3 linked regions of the Caenorhabditis elegans genome follow. The protein of the gene in region 1 interacts with the protein of each later gene in a pairwise test. Each region holds a gene or a part of one and is shown on either strand. Other genes may lie near its edges.

What was found. Proteins that work in one complex are often made in the same cells at the same time.
Region 2: the proteins of ceh-14 (region 1) and ztf-30 interact in a two-hybrid assay, tested with the Caenorhabditis elegans proteins (one large-scale study listed by BioGRID).
Region 3: the proteins of ceh-14 (region 1) and B0507.3 interact in a two-hybrid assay, tested with the Caenorhabditis elegans proteins (one large-scale study listed by BioGRID).

What each region holds. Positions count from the first base shown.
Region 1 is NC_003284.9:7,526,450-7,535,972, reverse strand, and holds ceh-14 (LIM/homeobox protein ceh-14), read left to right. Parts: upstream 1-3,240; coding exon 3,241-3,346; intron 3,347-4,111; exon of another isoform or gene 4,112-4,260; intron 4,261-4,489; coding exon 4,490-4,580; intron 4,581-4,637; coding exon 4,638-4,742; intron 4,743-5,807; coding exon 5,808-5,924; intron 5,925-5,968; coding exon 5,969-6,057; intron 6,058-6,116; coding exon 6,117-6,199; intron 6,200-6,750; coding exon 6,751-6,834; intron 6,835-6,884; coding exon 6,885-7,020; intron 7,021-7,068; coding exon 7,069-7,146; intron 7,147-7,190; coding exon 7,191-7,357; 3' UTR 7,358-8,204; downstream 8,205-9,523. Other genes in the region: F46C8.3 (US6), read right to left, coding at 8,720-8,779, 9,021-9,125, 9,176-9,257. UniProt on the Caenorhabditis elegans protein: Probable transcription factor, modulating expression of helix-loop-helix protein mbr-1 and homeobox protein ceh-63, perhaps acting in concert with ceh-63. Binds to a motif including the sequence 5'-CTAAT-3' in regulatory promoter elements.
Region 2 is NC_003281.10:8,593,982-8,600,909, forward strand, and holds ztf-30 (Zinc finger transcription factor family protein 30), read right to left. Parts: upstream 3,890-6,928; 5' UTR 3,863-3,889; coding exon 3,718-3,862; intron 3,640-3,717; coding exon 3,520-3,639; intron 2,724-3,519; coding exon 2,508-2,723; intron 2,460-2,507; coding exon 2,298-2,459; intron 2,252-2,297; coding exon 1,809-2,251; intron 1,763-1,808; coding exon 1,655-1,762; 3' UTR 1,329-1,654; downstream 1-1,328.
Region 3 is NC_003283.11:8,765,660-8,772,201, reverse strand, and holds B0507.3 (Mediator of RNA polymerase II transcription subunit 15), read right to left. Parts: upstream 3,294-6,542; 5' UTR 3,284-3,293; coding exon 3,202-3,283; intron 3,156-3,201; coding exon 3,034-3,155; intron 2,600-3,033; coding exon 1,694-2,599; intron 1,649-1,693; coding exon 1,460-1,648; 3' UTR 1,329-1,459; downstream 1-1,328. Other genes in the region: srx-115 (7TM GPCR serpentine receptor class x (Srx) domain-containing protein), read right to left, coding at 262-303; B0507.9 (Protein containing ALS2cr12 (ALS2CR12) signature), read left to right, coding at 6,164-6,213, 6,278-6,392, 6,438-6,542.

The DNA.
Region 1 (9,523 bases):
TGACGCGTCCCGCGTGTATAATTCAGTTTCCTGACAAGTCATAAGTTGTAAATATTTTATGATTGTTCACCATGTATTCCATTTCCAGAAGCTAGGAAAAAACACAACTCAAGACTGTTTGTTTCCATTCTTATCTTGAAAAAATAACGTTGGTATGAAATTTGGGACATCGTAAAAAATGGTATAATTTTAAAAAAACGGTCTTTTAAATGCTAATATAGTGTACGTGAGAAAATAACTTTCTGAAGTATCTACTCAACGTGTTATTTTCCAAAAAAATTGCATTAAGTTAAAGCTGATTAATATTTAGTTTTTTTTAATTTGGTTTACATGTTTACAAAAGTCAAGAGCCAAAAAATCCAAATTGTAAAGAAAGTCTTTTCTGCAAAACTGTATACATCAATGTCTGAGATGCAGATATAAAATAGTATAAACAAAAATGGAGTAACGTCAGTAAGTGATATTATTGAAGCTGGAAAACTGAGGTAACTTTACTTTTCGAGAAATCTTAGGCACTTCCGAACGCCTGAAATGTTGGAATATAAATATTTTAAACATCATTAGAACAAAAGTTTGAAAGAAAGCTTTTTGATCGATCATTTTCAAAAAAAGTCGGAAAGTGAGTTTCCCCCGTTTTTTGATTAGAAATAAAATATACTTACATTTTTTGAAAAGTGTTATCATGATATGCAGTCATTTTGGCGCAAAGGAAATCTTTAATCATTTCCTCCACATTTTTACATTTTTAAGTAAAAATTAAAATTGGGAATTTTTAAATCATTTGATGAAAACTGTATCGCAAAATATTTTTTGACTTTTTACACTAAGAAATTTTTATATTTGTAACTGTTAAACTGTTCATGCTAGCTGATGCCGATTGAAAACAAACTGATTCAACACATTGGGTGCCGGGCACGGTCAATCGGTTTACAAAATATTTTACAATGCGGAAATCAAATGCTCACATCTTTATGCTAAATGGTTCAGTCATGAACCATGAAGAAAAAGAATGAATCAGAAAAAACTTAAGTTTTACAACAAGACCAACAGTTTTCCCTCACTTTCCTGTCTCCTCACGAATTGATTCTCCTTCCGGCTGCCCAGTCACTCTCCATAACTTAATTGATACATTTTAGCACCAATTTTATGACGAGCAGAATTTGTTGCGAACATGTTGTCAGCTGCCCTTCTAAAATACATCCATGCCTCCCCTCCCCTCAACCATTACCGATCATTGTCCGTATACGCGCACCATATTGGCGCGTTGATGGACGAAGGCAGAGAGCAGCAGCACGACGACGTCATTATATCAAGACTGGTGGCAGCTTTTCGGGACGAGAGCCGAGACCCAGCTATTACCTAATTTTGAAGCGCTTCTATCCTGGCCTGCAAGCCGGATAATGGATGTGCTCTCGCACGTTGTCTTGTCTGCTTTTGAGAGCAGCATTGGTTTATATTACTTTTAATTAACTATTTCGTAAACTTCTGATCTTTTGTTAAGCAGACAAATTATCAATGTTTTCTTAGGTTGGCTTAAAGCTTGGGATAGGCACCATACATTTCCAAAAAAGAAGTACTAAAGCAGTCTGCAGATCGTGAACCTATAATAATTTAGTCTAGACAAATACAAGCAATATACTATCACATATTATTGTAATGATAGAAGTAGTGAAAAAGAAACTCACACAGAAATTGCTATAAAAATGATCAACCGGAACATTACCAACTTACATTGTTTCATGTTTATTTTTGTTATTTATTAAGTAAAATAATTTATAAGAACTTTTTCTAGTAGTCTTGTACCACAATTGTTGAACATTGAAAGCTCAAAGTTGTTGCTTTGTCGGAACATTTTCAGTCGGAACAAGTGCCAAATATGTGTGCTTTTGATATTCCAATAGTTTAACAAATTTGAATAGAATCCAAAACTCAAGATATGAGTTGCCACATAAGAGCAGTAAAGATTTAAGCTTAATAGAAACAATACTAATACGGTAATACGTATATTTGACGATAATTTTTGAATAGACATTTTGAAGCTATTTTTGTATTTTTAAAACTTCCATGAAATTCAATCATCGGGTTACTTTACTAAATAGTTTATATTTTACTTATTCATAGTTTCGACTGTTTTGTATTTTAAGATCAATGTTTACTACTGTTAGGCTCCTCAAGTTGAATTTCTGTTAATTCTATTGTTTCCAAGATGATATTTCATTCTGAAACTCTACTCCTGAAAATTCAACAATTGTTTTCATTTAAAATGAGCAACTGTAATTTTCTATTCATTAAAGTATTTTTTTTACCATTTAAAAGGAACCCATTCATGAAAAGTTCAATAGTTTCTAATAATGCAATAATCCACAAAAACATGTTCATGCCGCAATTTAATTTTTTCTTGACCTAACTGATCATTTCATTTTCTCATTTCATTTCAAAAAGCACGCAATATTAATGAAACTAGGACACCCTCTCTTAATTGCTTTTGACATCAATTAAGTTGAAATGTTTCTTTCTTTTTTCAAATTTTGCACTTTTTCAATCATTTTGAAAGTAGAATATAAACAAAGTTTTTTGGAAAGATGCTATTGCTCCGAAAATCACGAGGAACGAGCGGATTTGAGAGGATTTCTGAATTTATCGATGATAAAAACAATCTTCTTATTTTCGCGGCCGTTTCTGTAAAACATTTGCTTAGATGTGATAAGTCATTTGAGCAACATTCAATTAGTGAACTTTAGGTTTGAATCCATTGTTTCGGGAGATGTATCGTATCCCAGAGCTAAGAAATGCACAAGAGAGCATGGCTTCTTACCCGCTCATTGGCGTGAGACAAGAAATGGGCGGGACTTTATTTTCGGGACATTCATGGCTCGTGGAGCATAACATACACGTAGTCTCAAGAACCGACTAACGACATTTTTTCTTAACTTTCCATACGAGTTTGATCATGAGTCTGAAACATTTGACTAGGCTTTTTATAAAAGTTCATTAGCTATTCAAGCTAGCGTGCGGTTTTTTTTTCATGAATACTTTTTTTTTCTGAAATTAGACTTTTAGCTAATCAAATTTTTTCTTTCTTTTTCTTTTTTGTTTTCATATAATAAACAAAAATAAAGAGAAAATAAATTACATTATATCTTTGGTTTCGCTTAAATATTCACCTCAACTAAATCGTCAGAATCGTCTATCCCGAATTCGACTCGCTATGTTTATTTTCAGAGGCCTTTTTCAACAAACATGCTGGGACACAACATTTTGACTCTTGGCGAGTGCGATGAGCTGGACAATCATATCGTGATGTGCAGCACCGGGCTTCTTTCTCCGCAGGAAGACTTTAGTAATGGTAGGTTTGGAAACATATTCTTCGGATATACTCGATTAAAATAAATAGGTATTTTTTGTATCTGTACCCCGAAATGTTTTCAATTTTTCCAAAAATTAAAAATGTTTTCTTTTTGTATTTTAGACGCAGGAGCAATCATGGTTATTTACGTGTTGACATCATAGAATTTTATACACTGAAAACATATTGGGTAACAGCTAATAAACAAGTACCATATATTGCTCGTATTTATCAAAATGCATAGTGTGAAGAATTGATTTTTTCAGAGAATGCCAGCTGTTGAGCTGCAAATTTGTTTTTTTAATCACAAACCCCTTAAAACCGGGACAAGGGACTTTTTAGTAAACATCTAGAAAATTAGTTCAACACCATTTCGTGAAAACATTTCATACTTCAGAATCATAAGCAAAAACGTATTCCCCATATTCTTAAGTCATACGACAAAAAGAAAAGAAAAAAGTCCATCCTTGTCATTTCGCTTCCTGTCCTTTTGAACATTACCGACAACTACACCATTTTTCTCTCATACTTCATATTACAATAACAGTAGCCAACGGCAGTGGCCTTTGTCGCTTATCACTTTCTTCTCCTCGCGTTTTTTTAGTTGACCATCCTTTTGCCTATTGTGACTCAATATTACACACTGGAAACGTTTTTCGAAACCTATCACACCTTTTCGCGCGTTCTCGGATACCTCGTTTCGGGCCTCGTGTTCGTATTTTCTGTGTCTCTGAGCAACAAAAATAGCATAATATTTTTGCTAATACTGGACCATCATTCTTCTGGAAATTTGATATTTTAATGGTTGGTCACACCTCCGCGCATCATCCGTACCTTTAGCAGTTTATGGGGAGGACGCACACCTGCAAGCTTCTGGCGATGAGCATTGAATTACCGTTAGGTTCGTTATATCCCTCCTCCTGTTTTCTCTCTTGTTCCTCCAACCTGTTTAGCCACAAATTAAGTAAAAACAGTAGGAGTCAACAATATTATGACAGAATATATAAGGTTTAGTGTGTAGCAAGGGAAAATGGACAAGACAAGGAGAATGTCAAGCATAAAGCATGTGTCAAGAATATGTGTCAAGAATGGGTATCTAGCCGACACGCCGCTATATGAAACAAGTTGAATTATTTATTACAGTTAATGCAGGCCATCCGAATAACGAAGAAGCCATTTGTTCGCTTTGTGACAAGAAAATAAGAGATCGGTTCGTTTCAAAGGTCAACGGAAGGTGGGTTCACTGTTCTTCTCTAGTATTTTTTTCTCGACAAAGTTTCATTCTTTTCAGATGTTATCATTCATCATGCCTCCGATGTTCTACGTGTAAAGACGAGCTTGGTGCGACATGTTTCCTGCGCGAAGATTCTATGTATTGCCGGGCACACTTTTACAAGTAAGATGGTAGTTTTAGCTTTTTTTGGTATCACAGAAATGCGTAGTGCGGCTTTTTAGCTTTCTTACTCACATATTTTGAAATAGAACGGAGAAGTGTATGATAACAAAACATTGTCTTTGAAAGCTTATGTTTTTTTTTTTTTTAATATTTGGTGCGAAAACATTTTCAACCAGAAGAATAGAATTTAAATTCAACTTGGAAACTAGGGGATAGCTTTTTGGTAAATCTTAGAATAAAAAATTAGAGAACGATTTCAAACATTCAATGATAATAATAAAAATTTAAAAGGTTTTTTTGAGTAAACGTTCAATTTTCTTTTATAATATAATATCACAGCTCTCTGACTTCAGATTAAAATTTTTCTTTAAAAATAGATGACTACAAAAAATATGGTTGCAGAGTATCACTCTAATAAAAAAAAAGTTAATCTGAAAATTATTCAGTGCGTTACCGTAAACTTGCTCCAATAAGGTTGATAATTTTATTTATTACGGTCTTAAATTTCTTAAAAATAGGAAAGCATTCCGTGAAAAAAAAACTTTTGAATTTTTCCGGAAAGTTCTCAAAACGTTTTTGATCGAGTTTAATGAAAAAGTTTCAGATTCAGTAGTATTCAAAATATTTTTATAATACTCAACCTTGAAATCATCAGAAGTCATATCAGAAGTCATAGAAGAATTGTTTTTAAGAGTGAACAAAAACATCGAAAAACTTTCAAATAACATGGGTTTTCTTTTTTGGAAATCTATATGTGAACCGAAATATTTACTTGTCATTTATGTCATTTATAAAAAACAAAAGAAAATTAGAATACATCTGTCAAAATAGTTATAGTTGTAGAATTTATTATTCGATTGAATAAAATCTTAATACATATAATTTTGTACATTGAAGCAAATGAGTTTGTTCATGAAATTACTCGTACTAATAGTTTTCGTTTCTACCAAACCCACCCATAACGTTATTTTTTCAAGTGCAATGTTTCAATTTTTGCATTGTAAGTTTTGATAGCTGAACTGCATTCGTCTTCTTTTTTTTCATTTACAAAACTCATAACTTCAGAAAATTCGGTACCAAATGCTCCTCCTGCAATGAAGGCATCGTCCCGGACCATGTTGTTCGAAAAGCATCGAATCATGTCTACCATGTTGAATGTTTTCAGTGTTTTATTTGCAAACGGTAAACTTTAAACTTATTGCTCTGAAACTTGCATATTTTTTCAGATCTCTTGAAACCGGAGAAGAGTTTTATTTGATTGCCGACGATGCGCGACTCGTGTGTAAAGACGATTATGAGCAGGCTAGAGATAAACGTAAGTGATCAGTCCTCCATAAAGAGCTACTCGATTTTTCTCAATAGTCTCGCTTCCAGACTGCAATGAACTAGAAGGCGATGGTAGTAACAAGAGACCACGGACTACGATTTCCGCCAAGAGTCTAGAAACCTTGAAGCAGGTGAGCTCTTTCCACTGTTTTTATCATTGATGAGGTGAAGTCATAAAATAAAGCAAATCATTTTTGTAAAGCAAGACAGCGCCGTAGATTGACAAGAGCCACATAAAACCGCAACACTCTGGCGCCATTTGTAATAGAATTGAGTGCAATCCGCTTGTCAGATTCTTTAGTGAGTGAGCATTTCACAACAGAAACAATTTACTGTAATATTAGTGTTACCAATTATAAATTCGTATTCCTTAAAACATTACAATATAAAATATAATATTACTATACAATCGAAACATCCGGAATTGTCTGTTTAGCAATTTCAGGTGCGATCCATACTTTTATTATAAGTGTTGCAAGTGATAATTAAGATAACTTGTTTTAAACAAAAGTTCTCAACAATTTGAGCAGAGTTATTAGACCATTACGTGTACAAAGCCAATAGAACTTACTAGACTACTTTTTAATTCGTCGTTCTGAGTGCACGACTAATAGGAAATCTGCTCTACACTTCAATATAACTATAGATGTATTATTTCAAATGTTTAGATTTATTATTTCAGGCATACCAAACTAGCAGTAAACCAGCTCGACATGTCAGAGAACAACTCGCTTCAGAAACTGGACTTGACATGAGAGTTGTTCAGGTAGCACTTGCCTTATCAAGCGGCTTCGCTAATGTTTTATTTTTTATCAGGTTTGGTTTCAAAATCGTCGAGCCAAAGAGAAACGGTTGAAGAAGGACGCTGGTCGCCGGTGGAAGTCCTCAAATCGTGCAGAAAGCGACAGCAACTCTCCTATCGAGAGTATCAACGGGCAGAGCCCTAATTACTGTGAGAAATTTGAAGCTTATCGCTAAGCTTTTCATTCTTGTTTTGCAGTATACCTGGATCACCCAATGGACGATGGGAACGAGAGCAATTACCTTTTTCACTCCAGAGAGCAGACACCTGATAAATGTAAGGGAATATGAATATAAACTGAAAAAGTTTAACATTTTCAGACTACCGAAACGAAACCCCATCTACCGATCCACCTCCAATGCACATGACAACTCCGAGTGTTCTAACAACCAACTTCTCAACCCCATTATCTTTATCGACTAATGTTTACAACCTTCCTCCTCCTGAATCTCAGTTAATCCCACACATGACTCCACAGTACATTTGAACTGGAGAAAAACAAAAACTCTAGTTTTCGATTACATTTTAATTTGATACTTGATACAACGTTCCGGTTTGGAGTAACGAATGGTATAATATGTAGAATATAGAAATGGTTTTTGAATTAATGTAGCCACAATTGTGAGGAATATCTTACAAAATCTTTATTAGTGGTCTTGAATCTTTGATGATGTTTTGATATTTGAGCAGAAACTGTTTCCTGGAATCATATAACTTTACAAGTACTCTACCTCACAAAATAGACGACCCCCTACTCACCAAACAGCCATGAGACATGCTTGAAACATTTTCTCTCTTGCCAAAAACCTTATCTATTCCCTGTTTTCGTATATCTCTTTATTTCTCTTTTCGTTTCATCACAGCTGTTTGCCCATGCACCGCAGTTTTCAACATTTCACCACTTTCTGAATAAATAGGTCCCTTGCCCGTTTTGCTTCTTCCAATACCCCCTCGCTCGCTCGTTTCATACATCTCATAGTCAATATTCGTGTGAGGCCCCCACTCCTCTCCTTCTAAACACTTGTTACGTATCCCTCGACACCTTGACCATTCATTCTTCATCAATGGTGGATGTGTAACACTTATTTCGAAATGTATGATTGATGGTGTTCTTCATACTTTTCTCTCACCCCACGCCACCCCCCCCCCCCCCCCCTTCCCTCCCATCAGTGTTTAATATCCGATCATCGAATTGCCAAATCATTTTGCCATATACCTTTTAATAAATCATGACAGGAATTGTATAAATTTGCCACCAATGAATGCACATCTCGAACCAATAAAACCCATCAATCAATTTGATATGGAATTATGAAAATTTAAAATAAAATCTCTCTCTCTCTCTCTCTCTCTCTCTCTCTCTCTCTCTTTTAAATCGTGTATGTATAATGATCACATGCAGTTAATTTTCGTTCAACAATCGAAAAATTGGGCGATACCCATTTTTCCAAAAATCCCGAAATACGGCACACGATCTTAAAATTTACGTGTCAAAGGAGCTGAATATTATAGTATTTTTAAAATTTCTGAGTATTGGTAATAGACACTGTTTTCTGGGAAATGTGGTTCAAAACCATTGGTTAAAACAATGTGAAAGTCATAAACCTGGTACATTTCACTGAATGAATAATCTTAAAAATTAAAAATTAATTTAAGGTTTAATGTTTCAAAACGTACATCAACGTTTATTCAATAAAAATCAATACAAAAACAAATTTTGGCATCATCAGGATTGAGGGTTTCAGTTTATATATATTACTAAAAAAAACGGTAAAACAAAATGACAGAACATAAAAATGAGAGTTTTTCGAACAATTTTCAAACTTGATCACTTGAAAATTTGAGCAAATCATGACGAATCAACATATGGAAGATCACCGACCACTAACTTGACTGGATCTAGTGACCTCTGGAATTAAACATTTCTATTGACAACTGATACAAGAAATCATTCAAAACAAAAATCGAATGAAACAAAAAATGGGGATAATATCAAAAAGCTGGAATGGTTCTCTCGGCCGGGGAAGAAGAGTTAGAAGGGTCAAAGACTTATCACAAGGCAACGGAGGGGTAGTACAAAAGACGAAGCTGACAAAAATTGACTGACGAGGGAGAATGCTTCAGAAATAGTTCTCCGAGTCAATTATTACCTTTGGTACACTGGCGGTTGTAGCTCCCCGATGTGACATATCGTTGCTCAATGACGTTTTCTTCTCATTTTCCGGTGACATCTCCGTTGACTCATTCGTGTATGGCTGATAAATTAAGTTGGTCAAGATAGTCATTAAGAGAAACGAAATCGTACCTTGTAATTGACAGAACCGTTTCCTTTGAACTCCGGACTGCTGTTCCTGCATTCCAGTTGTTTCTTCTCTTCAATGGATGGACTGGAAAATATTGGTTATTTTTAACTTAGTTTGGTTAGATGAACACAGTTACGGCAAAAAAACTATAGCGGCCGACATCTCATGTGCTCACTTTTGACAGTGAACGCTAATTTGATCCATGATGTCATTCATTCAGAATTTTATATGTAAATACATATAAAACAATATTTTTTCCTAACTTTGAAAGACACTGGTCGTTTGTTGAATTAATTTTATGATTATATTTCAAGTGAAAGAATCTCTCACATTTCAAGTCAAAGAAATAG
Region 2 (6,928 bases), on another chromosome or scaffold:
AAATGCTATTGAAAAATGGAATTGGCATATGGTATATTGAAATCGAAGAAATCGAACAAGAATAAAAGAATACAATGGACAGTAATACTGTAGGGACATCAATTGTAAATAAAATAAAATAATGATTGTCTATGTTTGTTCATCTGTTCCATTGAGCAAATTTTCAATGAATCTAAATTTTACTCTGGTTTTAGAAATTGTATGGCTCAAAATATGTATTTTGTGTGTGTTCCGGAGTACAGCTTATCACTTTATCGAAAAACGTATGTTTTGATAAGGAAAGGGCGTTTCAATAAATTTGAAGAAAAAAGGGCGTTGCAACAAGTGACATGAATAAAACAAACATATTCGTAGAGTCGTATCAATAATCAGCATCATTTCGATCTTACGTACGTGGAGTAACAAGGAACTGGAATTTTTTGCATGCCGGAGGAATAGGAAGATAAAAATGAAAGACTAGAAACATAGTCTGCTTGTCTGGTATTCCAAAGATCCCCTACCGTACCTAACTGTACTAAACTTACAGCACGGTTACCAAATCCATACAGTCCCGTAATACCACAGTATCTCAAATTATTATGTTTTTTTTAACTTTTAAACAGAATATGTATTGTATTTTGTATGTATTTTGAAAACTTGTTCAGACAAGTTCATCAAACATGTTAATAGCAATTTGAATTGATTTCATAACTCTGACAGCGTCGTCTGAAAATGTTTCTCAATACTATTTAATTTTTCTACCCCCATACTCTATTGTTTTAATTTTCCTAGATAAATTAACAATGCTCCAAATTCGTCAAGTTTTTTTTTCCTGAAATGGTCAAATTTTGACAGCAATGACAATGTTCAATGTGAGCACCTATCAGCACATCAACGAAACAACCCACAAAATAATGACAAAATTGCTATGAAAAATAATAATTTGATGAAAACTGACTTTGCGAAATTTGAGAATTTAGCTGAAACAGAGTTTAACATTAAAAAAAACAGAGCTCAGGATATTGGTAGAGGCTCATGACTAAATTTGGTATTTTTGGGTCGCTTTAAGTGAAAATGGACATCGATTTTTTGTTGGAATTAAAGAGCTAAGAAATGAGCTTTCTCAGATTTCAGTTACCATGGATATTTGGCAGAGGATTTATTTAGTTATTTGTTTATTCTGGATAAGAAATCCGTTTACGTCTTTTGTAAATGTATTTTTCAAAAAAAATTTTTTTTGAAAGAGTACCAAAAATTCTGGAACACACATTATTCAACTTTCTATACTGTTTTTTTACTTTCTTGACTTTCTCTGATCAGTTTCAGTTATTTCCTGGAAGAAACGTAGAATACAGCATTTAAATTTATATCAAGTATGTATTATTATTATATTACAATTATGTATATTCAACGTAAGCACTGAGAATTATGGAGATGGAGACACAGAAGGAACACAACGGATCGGATGATTTTGATTTGTTTGTTTAATATTTGTTTTGGAAATAAAAAGCAAAAAATCCCGCAAACAGGAAGAAATAAGTTAAAAAATATAGTTCTGAGATTGGTAAAAAATATTGCGAAAATTATGAGAAATCTCCAAAAATGAAACAATATTAACATGATAGTAAAGCTTGCGAAGTTTGAGGTTTCAGAGAAATTTGGAAAAAAGATAATTCTAAAAAGGACGTGTCAAAATTGTGTTATTTATGAGAATTCGAAGAAATGAATTCATTTCCGAGGCGTCGTGAGCTTTGTCATTTTGAAGAAATTTCACGGCAAGATTCTGAAAAAATAATTTTGAAATACTTCTTTCTGATCTGAAATCTTACCTGACACTCTAACAATTTCCTTTGGAATAGCTCATTGTGCTCACGGAGCGCGTGTGCTTCCATTCTCAATCTGAGCACAGTTTGTTCCAATCCATTCATTTGGGCATTTGCTTCTAAACTTTCTTGTTGCATCGTACCAATTTTGTGTTCCAACAGTTTGCATTTATTTTCAGAAATCAATATCTTTGTCCTGCTGACGTGGCAGTCGAAGCATTCATGACGTGGACTGATCCTTGAAGAAGAAGATGATGAGGATGGTGAAGCTGTATCAATCAATGGAGATGATATAAGAGCACGATCAGAACACAACTGATGGAATGCACTAAGATCAGACTTGAAGCTGACTGATGAGCAAGTTGGTGACTGTGAAGTATACACATCGGGCTTCTCCACTTCATCTTTTATTTTTTCTTTTGAATCTGCTACAAATATTGGTGCCGTAGCTGAAATATTATCATAAGCATTACAAATATTTTGTATGTAACTTACTAGGTATGGGTTTTGGAAGATTTGCAAGCCATGAAGGTGTCTGAGGTTGAGATCGAATAGGCGATTGAAGAGCAGGGATTGGGATGCTTGCAATTGGAAGAGAAGGTACTGATGATTCAAGGGATTGTGGGGTTGGTAGATTTAGAAGTGGAGTACGGATTACTGAAATCAATAATCTTTTTATGTTCATCTCATATCTGATAGTCTTACACTGGAATGGATCTGTAATGAGGTGGCAGCTTCTGTTGATAACTCCATGAGGAATGACACTATTATTATTGTTGTTGCTGTCATTGTTGTTAGTGGCAGTTTGTAGATGAATATGAAGAAGTGATTTATCAGGAAAAGCCCAATTACAGCAACGGCACATGTACATTCGAGAGATATGATGTTGCTTGAACATATGAGTACGAAGAGATTCACTACCTGCAAATTACAATAGTTTTTTATTATTATTCAAAGTCCCCAATTCAAATACAGTACTCCTATAAAGTTTGTCTACTTATCCCAAAGCCATTATTTGACCCCTTACAATTTCGCTCCAATCCTCCACTTTTTTCCCTTCTGCCCCCACTCTCATCCATTGCGCAACCTCATTCAATTGTCCCCGTTCTCGAAAAGTGAGAACTGTGTTTGCGTCTGCGTCTCCACTATTTCGTATTTCTCCGGATGACCTCAATCGTCCGGAGAATGAAGAAACAGTGAAAATTGAATGAGATCAAGAGGAATCTTTCTCCGGAGAGTGGATGGATAGTAAACAATAATTGTTCATACAGATGCTTATACCCGAACAACAATAAAAACGAGTTTCTTGCGGTGTTTCATGTGATAAACAATTCAGGTGTAAACAATATGCTTGTTCAAATATTATAGGTGGATGCTTTAAAATATAGCAGTGGTTTTGCACTGCACAATTTTGCTCTGCAAAATGTTCTACAGTATCCCTGCTAAACCCGGGAAATGAGGAGATCAAATCAAAAGATGTACTGGAGCTTAATACATTTTTGTAGCAAAAGCTCTCTGAGTCCCTGATCGAACAAGTTTTCATTCTATTTCATATTTTTGTCTCCAGCAGCTTTTCAGCTCAAATGTGCAGCTCATTCTTGTATCAAATGTCATGATTATCTTTCTTTCAATTTCGAAAAATCTGTGATTGAGGATTTTTCTTAATGCTCGGAAGATCACCTCATTGTCAATAAAAAATAAATAACTTCCGACTTACTTGAGATATCTTTTCGGCATACTGTGCATTTGTAGCTTTTGAAGTGAGCCTGCATACGGTGGCGGGAGAGACTTGAAGAATGACAGAAAACTTTTGAACAGATTGAGCAACGGAACGAACCTGAAATTCAGAATCATTATAAAAGTAAGAACCTAATCAGATTTGGTGGACTAATAACAATTCCCAGAACTTACAAACCTTTTAAATCGGGTCGTTTTAACTCAACACCACTTCCACCTTTGGATCCACTGATATCAGTTCCATTCTCAACCTCCACGTCACTACCGTAACCTTCCTCCTCTGTATTTGTGGGTGAATGAATTTTATCGTCTTCCAGCTTCATATCCATTTCAAGATGCATGATTTTGAGCTGAATCATGAAACATGAAGACACATGAAACAATACAAAGGCAGATAAAATGAGGAAGTAAAAAATCTGAAAATCGAATGAAAGAAAAGATGTGTGAGCTCATAGCATTTTGAGCACATAGGCACTTTTCAATGTGTGCAGGCAAAAGGCCATTATGATGACGGAGGAGGAAGAAGAAAGATGCAAAAAGTAATAAAAAAAGCTTAACTACAGGCATCCAGATCAATGACGCTGACGGTAAGAATGATCCATTCTCTTTTTAGTGTATGTCATGTAATCCCAAATCCAGATCATTTTACAAGAATGACTTGAATTTCTAAAATAGAATGTGCTGCAAGGATACGGTAGATTAACTCAGATAACGAATGAATCATTGCATTCAATGTTTTGGAGCAGCAGGAGCACGGGAATTTTATGAGAACGTGTGTGTGAGAAGCTTCAAATTTTAAAAGTAAATCGGAGGAGCTTGAAATCAGCAATCGTAGTATTATCTTTCAACATTATTGCCTGGTTTCGCGTACCTAATATATTTACAGAATTTTTGGGGCAACAGTTTCCAAGAATAACTTGTTTGGAGGCTTTTCCAAACTGTGACTCTTTGCTCCATTATTTAGAAGACGTTTTTTAATTTTGAACTCTTTCGTAGAAAAAAGAAGAACTTAGTGTGAACGTTGAGTAGCCAATAAATGGCAATTTGTCAGTATTCACTTATTTTAGGAGACTCTAAAAAGACAATCTCTGGAGTTTTTAGAAAACTCTAAAAAATGCTGGTCATGTTGGACTATTATTAGTGTATTCAAGTTTTGACATAGTCTCTTGTTTTGAAATTTATGAAATGGTTAAAACAGCTAGATTTAAAAATTTCATCAGCCATTGTTTGATCATCTGGGCAAATCTTAAAGCATAATCTTCTAATCTTTTTTGAGAGACCTGTTTTTAAAATCCAAAGAAAATCCTTCGAAGAAAGTTTATGGTTTGTACTTCAAAATCGTCGGACAAGTTGTTTCTAAGAAAGTGAAGCAAAAAAGGTTTAATGATGGATTTTGCATAAGAAAACTAAGTAGGTTTAAAGTTTAATCGCGGGGGAGTGTTTGCAAAAAAGGCACATCTTTAGGGACTTTTTTCTAGATTTAACAAATGAAAAAGCCGTGCAAATTTCAGTTTACTTGGTTCCCATATCCCAAAAAGAGACCATAAACATTAGATTAAAACTAGGCACTTGTAATAAGCCTAATGACGTGGCACCGAAATGTTGCAACCCGTGACTATGAACTATACAAGGTCAAACTGTCAATACACCTATCCTTTCCGCTAATTATCCATCGTCACCAAGACGGCTAAGACGGAAAAAAGATGAAGACGGACGGCAATGGATTGAAGGGAATAAGACGAAAGTGTCAATACGCAAAGACTAGGTCAAACCGGAGAAGATGAGAAAGTATAGAAGAATAAGAGATACAGACTAGAGGAATGACGTAAGGTTTCCAGGAGAAGCTAGGTGAGATGAAGTGGAAGTAAAGAATTTGGAAAAAAAATGTGCTAGAATTGGGGAGAAAATCTCAATAAATTGTAAGCATGTGAAGGCAGTGGGGAATGGGTTCTGAATTATTTCGAACACATAAGCTCCGGCAGTTGGGTTGCTACTTGTTAAAATACATCCTTAAAATTAGCAGAAGGAAACATTTCCATTTCAGAGTGATAGAAGTTCACAAACTACTAATTTGGAACTTTCCTTTTTCTGGAAAAAAGTTGACACCTCTGAAATGACACCATATTCACTAGTGTTCCTGAAAAGTTTTCCGTATTAGTTTTCATTAACAGCAAAAAAAAGTTGGCCCGAATGAAAAAAAATAGGCGGATACTCGGATGGTATATCCTGCCCATCGACAAGATGATCCTTGCTTCAATTGGTTTTAAGCCGCTTCCCAGATTTGATGAGCGAATTTGGCGATGAGCCGTGACGACGCGTACAGCCTCATTTGTGCAGGATCGAAAAAGCATCAGTTTTCGAGATAAGGCAAGACATGTGGAAAAAATGTTTTCTGACGCAATTGAGTTAAAAAGGGCGGGGCTATGGCTATGTGTACCGAAGTGTTGAGTACGTCAAATTTTTTGAAGTAAGTTCCTTTAGAATTTTAGATAAAGTTGAAGTTTGGTGGGAAGATCTGATAATAGTTTCTTTTTATACCACAATGTAATCAATATAAAAACATACATCGTTTTCCTATTTTACCTGGTTCAGTAGTCTGGAAGTTCCATGCCGCCATATTAAAGCTTAATAATTATAACTACTAATTTCGATATTAACTAGCAATGCCACAAATGGTAGTTTCATTTGAAATAGGAAAAAATAGAAAATTTTCAACTGGGTCATCTTTTTCCCAATTTTTTTAAAAACCAAAAATTGTCTTTTTTAAATTAAAAACCAGTTAAAATGGTTCAGCTGAAAATTCGCTCGCAAATTTTCGGCTTCAATTAGTTTATTTTTTCTCATTTTGTAAGTATATTGCAAACTGGGGACACAAAGAAAAATTTGATGTAAACCCCTTGTGCCTGTCACACAAAAATAAGACTAAATGTCTAAATATAAATATTGGTACTTTCCTTGTATTTCCTGAGACTTAAGATCTTTGAGGAAGATCGCAAAATTTCGAAATTCACTCTGTAGGATTTTCTAGATTTAGCATCGAAATGCTCAATCAACAGATCATTCGGAATGACAATATGCAATCTTTGATGATGCTTACCATTTTTGAAATAAAAAACCCTGCCGTCTTCTGACCCATCAATTAGTCATTGACAAAAAATGAGAATGAAATTGGATTGACTCTTTAAAATCCGGTAAAATATATAATGCCGACGTCGCATCAAAAACTACAATCTGATAGTAATCCGCTTGTTTCTCTTTCGTAGTTTGACGTGTTTTTTCATCCCGGGCCCGTGTCTGACTTATTAGGGAAATATGTGTCTGAGGATGATATATTGACAAGAAACTATTTTTGATTTGAAATGTAGCTGGTAGGATTTTATTTATTTGAA
Region 3 (6,542 bases), on another chromosome or scaffold:
GGATAATGGACTTGCATATCGTTTATACAGAAAACTTGTAGAATTTTTCTAGGTTTTATCATATTAAAATGTTGCTTAATAGTTACTCTTTTGTTCGGATACATTTCTTCCAGAATAATTGCATCAATACTTATTGATAAATTCATTATTAGAAAATATCCGAAAAAATATCCGCCCACCTCTGATTGAGAACTTCTTGGAGAAATTTTAATTCGTGTGTCATAATAGATAAAGAACGTTTTCTCGTTTTGCAATACTTACCAGCACCATAATCGTTGCTGCAATATACCGGAATTCTATCATGATCGACTATAGCCTGCCACTGAAAATTATAGAAATGAGAAATAATGATCTGAAAAATGCATATTTCGGTCTAACGTTGGTTCTCACAATTATCTTTTTCAATGAAATTTATTATTTTTTAGGAAGTTATGCGAGACGGCTGAAATTTTTCACAGAAAGATCAGTTCATTCTGCTGATACATGAAAATCGAATTCTCTGTGAAGGTGGGAGGTATAAAAGTATAGCAAAAAAAAAGTTGTACCTAGTTGGTCTTCAAGCATCGCCGAACTCAATGTTATTTATCTAAAATATTTTGGAATTTATCTGTGCTTTGAGTAGCTAAATGGGAGAGTCAAACTAATATTGACCTAGATACGTGAAAATTTAAATTATGAATTGAGCTTTTTGAAGTTCGTTTTTTTTCAGAAAAAAGATGTACGTGTCAATAGAGATATTGAAAGGTTTCGAGAACTTTTACTTGATTTTCTCTTGCTTTTCTGTTGAACAGTTTGAAACATAGTTAAAAGAAAACCGGAAACTATCGAATTCAACCTTCTACTACTTCTGGAAAAGTGGCTCTAGGGCCACCAGAAATACGATTTTATGGAAAAGTGGCTCTAGGGCCACCAGAAATACGATTTTATAGAAAAATAACATAAAATCTTGAGCGTTAGACAACGTTAGTTGAATTGTCAAACTGCAGTGACAATTAAATTCCATTCATTACGCTTTATTGAATACGTGGAAAAACAATACAAAATAACAAATCATTGTTTTGAGAAAATTAGGATTTTTTGGAAAATTGGGCGTTAGGGTTTTTCTGGAAATAAAGCAGTAATCAGTTTCATTTCACGACAAAACACAACATGTTTACAGAAAACTTGACAGAAGTAATCAAAATTCACCACTAATTCACCATTGTGTTTAACTTCATTTAACCTTTAACCCTTTTTGCTTAATTGGCAGTCCACGCAGGGCAAAAAAAAAGAGAAGACGGGCAGACAGTTTCACTAAAATAATATCTCCTGGAAAAATTATTATTAACTATCACAGATAACTTTATCTCACAGTCTTTTACAGCAATATCAACAATAATAAAAACGAGATCACAATTTTGGAAAAAATGATGTTTGATTAGAAAATAAAATATACATCCTCAGAATTAAAGGCTAGTTATCATTGACATCTGCATGGCATCTGACCGCAACGACATACAAGTCTCAGGGGTAAAGCCATTGAAACTACGGACCATTGATTGCAAGCACGAGTCATTGGAACTAGAAATTGTTTGGTAGGATCCATTTGAGGTCCATTGAGTGGAACTTGAAGTGAGAGTTGGGGAGGATGCTGAGGAGGCGGTGTAACCTTAAAAATTATAGTTATTTTCTATATTGTAGAAGTTGATCTTACTTTCTCCACGGGTGGGGATACCGTTGTTTTCTGTGAGACAGAACTTGTTTTGGCAGGGAGCTCCACTTGTGGTACGAGCACTGGTGGGGCTGGAATCGGAGTAGATGGCTTCGATGATTTTTGAACCATTGCAGGATTTGGTGACATCATTGCTGGTGTAGGGATGACTGATGGAGTACCTGCTAGTACTTGTGGAGTACTCATCAGATGGAAAAATGGATTAGGTTGTTGGCGGATAACACCTTTCTCCTTCAATAAGACAAATGGATGACGTAAGTAATCATGAAGTACTTCATCAGTGACACTTCCGTTGTGAGCGGATGATATGTAGGAAAGAAGTTTCCTCTGTTTGTCTTGTAAATCATTCATCATTACTTCCGCTGATTGTGCAAACTGTTTCGATGGAATTGTATTTGGAACATGTGGAATACGGGGCTGTGCAGTTACACTTGGAGCAGCTTTTTCTTTTTGTTCCTTTTCTGTTTTTTTCGTGGATTCTTTTTGCTGTGGAGTCGATGCAAGTGCAGCGACCGGTTTATTTGATGCGTCTAAAGACGGAGTAGGAGCTGGAGACTTTTTTATCGGTTGCTCTTGTGATTGAATTTCCATTGGTACTGGAGCAAGTGAAGCCGGTGCAACTTTTAAAGGCCCCGTAACCAGAGTTGGAGGTGGAGGAATAACTGGAACTTGAAATGAAGAAGGTGCTATTGAAGTTGGATGACTGTGAGCTTGATTTAAAGTTATCAGCTTTGACATGTTCAGAAGCATTTGCTGATCTTCTTGAATGCATCGTTTTATTTGTTGGTGGTCCAATGGTTTATGTTCAGTTGGACATGGTGATCCTGTTGATGTCTTTTCAGAAACTACTGGTTTGCTTATGAGTGACTCGATTCGTTGATGGTATTGCTGAAAATATCTCAATAAAGTCATCTCCAAGAAAAAATCTAAAATATTGTATCCAGCAGTTAGTTTTTTGAATATTTTATCGAGATTACAAGTTTCGGCAGTTAACTACGTTATACTGTATTCAGTACTTTTTCAACATGTTTCCAAATCTTGGCACTACGCCAGAAACTGATAAGAAAACCGCTGACACTGCAATGTTGCATATGCAACGTGGCTCTTTCGAAACATTGTGCAGAGCATGATATCTGTGTGTGCTTTGATCATATTCATAATCACTGAAAATCGATCATAATCAAACAGTTTCACGGACACTTTTTGTGAATTCCGTGAAATTCTAGCAAGGTGTCACTCCGTGCGAAAGAATATTTTAATGCAAGAAATTGTTTGATAATGTCATATCATGTGATAAGAAATAAAATATTTCCGGAACTTACTTTCAATCGCTGAAGTCTAGAGATCATTTCATCAAGGAACGAAATGCGTTGCGAAGGTTCCGTGCAATTCAACGCGTTTAATAGATTTAGAAAAAGGACATCCATAAAACTGGCAGGTGGCTCTGAAATTAGAAATTCAATTTTCGAAAATCAACTCAAACAACAAACCTAGAGTTGGTGGAGCTGAAATTTTCATAGCGGGCACATCCACGCTGGCGGAAAGTAGCCTTTTGCGAGTGGCTAAATCCATTTTTGAACCACTGAAATTAAAAATGTTGAAATTTAAGAATGTGAAAAATTGCGCACAAAATATGAAAGAAAAAATAAGTATGACTAGATTCAAAATGAGGTGGAACCGGAAAACCTTATGATTGTGTCCATAAAATGCTGGTATATACAAAAATTTAAGGCAGTCTCTGGGTATGATTGACTGATTTGGAAACTGATAAGACTATATCAGTTGTTGTAGACCGTTGTCAACTGATTGTAGATAGCCTCAGGGCTCTAAAAATCTTGACTAGTGATAAGAAAAATTGGCGTTGCTGTCAACATCAAAATCATGTTCTTATCACAGCGAAACTCTGGTGCAGAGTGTAAATGGAACAGAATCGAACCGAGCAACACAATGTGACAGAAACTGTGTTTGTTTGCAGTAAAAAGTGAAAATTTTCAAACTGGAGAGTTACCTCTTATTTCTGCGCCATGGTGTAAATTTAAATAATATATCATAAATTGAAAACATGAGACATAATTTAAAAGTCTTAAAATAAAAAAGTTTTTCCTCCAGACATATAAGTGAGGGATTTCAAGCTGTTCAAAATATTTCCTTTTACTTTGTTGAAGATGAAACAAAAAAAAATCATTTTTCGTGCAGAAATTATTTAAATTTTACAGATTTTTTCGAAAAGCCAGTACACAACGGTTTAAAACGAAATACCATGTTGTTATCAAGTTAACCTTTCAGTTCTCAAACGATGACATTAATATTCTTTCCGCGTCAAAAGTTTTCTGGGTGATTAAAAAAGAGACAGAAAAAAGTGAACATGCTCAGCGATAAGCTGATTGAAATTTTGTTGAGGTTACGATATTGTCTTGTGTCTTGTGAAAAGTTTGCTAAAAACTTTTGTATCCTGATGTATGAAAAAAGTGAGAAAAATTTTAAGTTAGTCAACAATTTCAACTTCATTCATAGGCACAACTGAGAATTTAATTAACTTGTATTCCACAATTGCTGGATGTGTGAGCATTCAAACATTTTTGATTTGAAAATAATGCGATTGAAATAAAAAAGAATTGAACGAATTAACATATGAAATTATTCCGCACGCGATATGTATTCATAAATTCTAGAATTTTTATTGTTCTGTTCAAATCATTTCCACTTTCAAAATGTATTGAATCTGTCGTTGATACTCTATTCTCTTATCACCAAAAACTTGTTCATCTTTATGACTATCACTTGACTCTTCAGGTAAACATTGAATGTATTGAATACTTTGAATGCTCTTATCAAATTGTTTTCATCATCCTGAACCAAAATAATTCCTTACCGACGCCACCTACCTGATTGTTCCACAAATTATTATAAAACAAAGAGAAAGTTTTTCAAGAGGAGCACTAAAAAGTCAAACTCGTTCTATAAAAAAAGTAAGAAAAAATAATTTAAATTGTGTTGTTTGTGTAGGTTTGGTTAGTGTATGTGTGTGAAGCTGTAGGTTTGGTTAGTGTATGTGTGCAATTGAGATGAACCGACGACGATCGGCCGATAAAAAATGTATGAGGTCGGGCCAGGGGAATTGATACATAAAATATGAGCTAGTGCGCATTTAGAATGAATCGAATTTCATTCAGCTCTTGTTTTTTTGTGAGCTGCTCAAAAATTATTAGCAGTAGGTGAGATGATGTTGGTACTTCTGTTTGGGCCGTTAATATATAATGGAATCGTCCATTTGTTGTGATGAATGTTGTCGGATTGGGAAACAATATTAAAATAGCGTGGAATAAATACACTGAATTTCCAGGAACTAATACTCCAATATTTGTAGGAGGAATACAGATCGACGATTGATTAATTTTGATTGAATTTGGTAGAATAACACTTTACAAATAAATATTACTATTATGGTGCATATTATATATTTGGATAAAATCTGAAAATTACAGAAACGTTCAGCCGGCGTCATTGATATGTCAACGTTCCAGTGGCAAAAACATACAACATTCATTGCGATTAATCACTTGAATTGAATTATCCAGAAATGACTGTCTGTAACCGATCCGTGAAAGTCATTCAACTGTTTTTTTGCAAATGTAGCGTCCTTGTCATGCCAACGTATAATGTGCAATATTCTTTAGATTTGTTTTCCGTTTAAATTGACTCAATTTATTCAGCAAAGCACTTTAAAACAATAAGTTGTAACCTCTGTTCATGATTACGATCTAAAAAACTCCATTAAAACGTTTTCTGAATTCTCCCAAAATACCATCATGGTTTCACTGGGTTCAACGATAACTTATCGAATGCAAAACCTAGCGGTGCACAGCTTTCAACAGTTTTCGGCAACCGGCAATCTCCTTACTTGATTTCCAATAATTTCTAAATCAACCAATAAAGAAATGGTAGAAAAAGAGTTTGAAATATTTTGCTAATTGACAGTTTTTCTAACAAACAAAAACTAAGATACGTGTTGTCAAAGCTAACAAATAAGTTGTAATACTATTCGAGGAAATACAGCATATAGATTTTAATAATTTGTGGCAAAAATTTCACATTAAAAAAAATGTCTCTCACAATCAAACTATTCAGAGTTTTTCAGTAATTAATTTCAAGTAAAGTCTTCAAAGGTTTGAGCAATTGCCAAAACTTTCAGAAACCAACAGTTACCTGAATTGCCGAGTGTCCAAAATGCTGGATTTCATCACTCCCCAGCCATTCCCTCCCTTTGTTTCAAACAACACCAACAACACTTGCTAGTTGTAGTTGAAAGTGTACGTTATCTTTCTCCATGAGACAAACAAAATAAATATGAGGAAGAAAGAACCACTTTTCAAGTTCATGTCGTTTTTTATTGAATATTTGATTTCTGTAAGTTTATTATCCCTACAATAATTTGACAAACGAACAGTCGCAATGGAGACATCAATTTTTGATGATGTTGAAACCAGAATAGACAACAATGAGTGAGTGCAAATATGTTACACAGTATGGTCGTATTATGAATTTCTATTATTATTGAAATTCCAGAATTATTGCTCAACAGCATGCTGAAGATCTATTTGAGCTTTACTTGAAAATTCAAAATGCTGAAAAGGACAGTGTTATTGATATCAGAAAAGAGGCAAGCGCCGATCATGAAGAGGTATTCGTTTGTTAACAATTGCTAAGTTAGCAGTGTATCTTACAGATGTTATGTGAGCTTCGCAATGATTTGAGCCAAGTCATGAAAATGGGAATGGTGAATCTTTCAATGCAAATTATTGCTCAAGAGAGAAACAACCGCAGAAAAGTT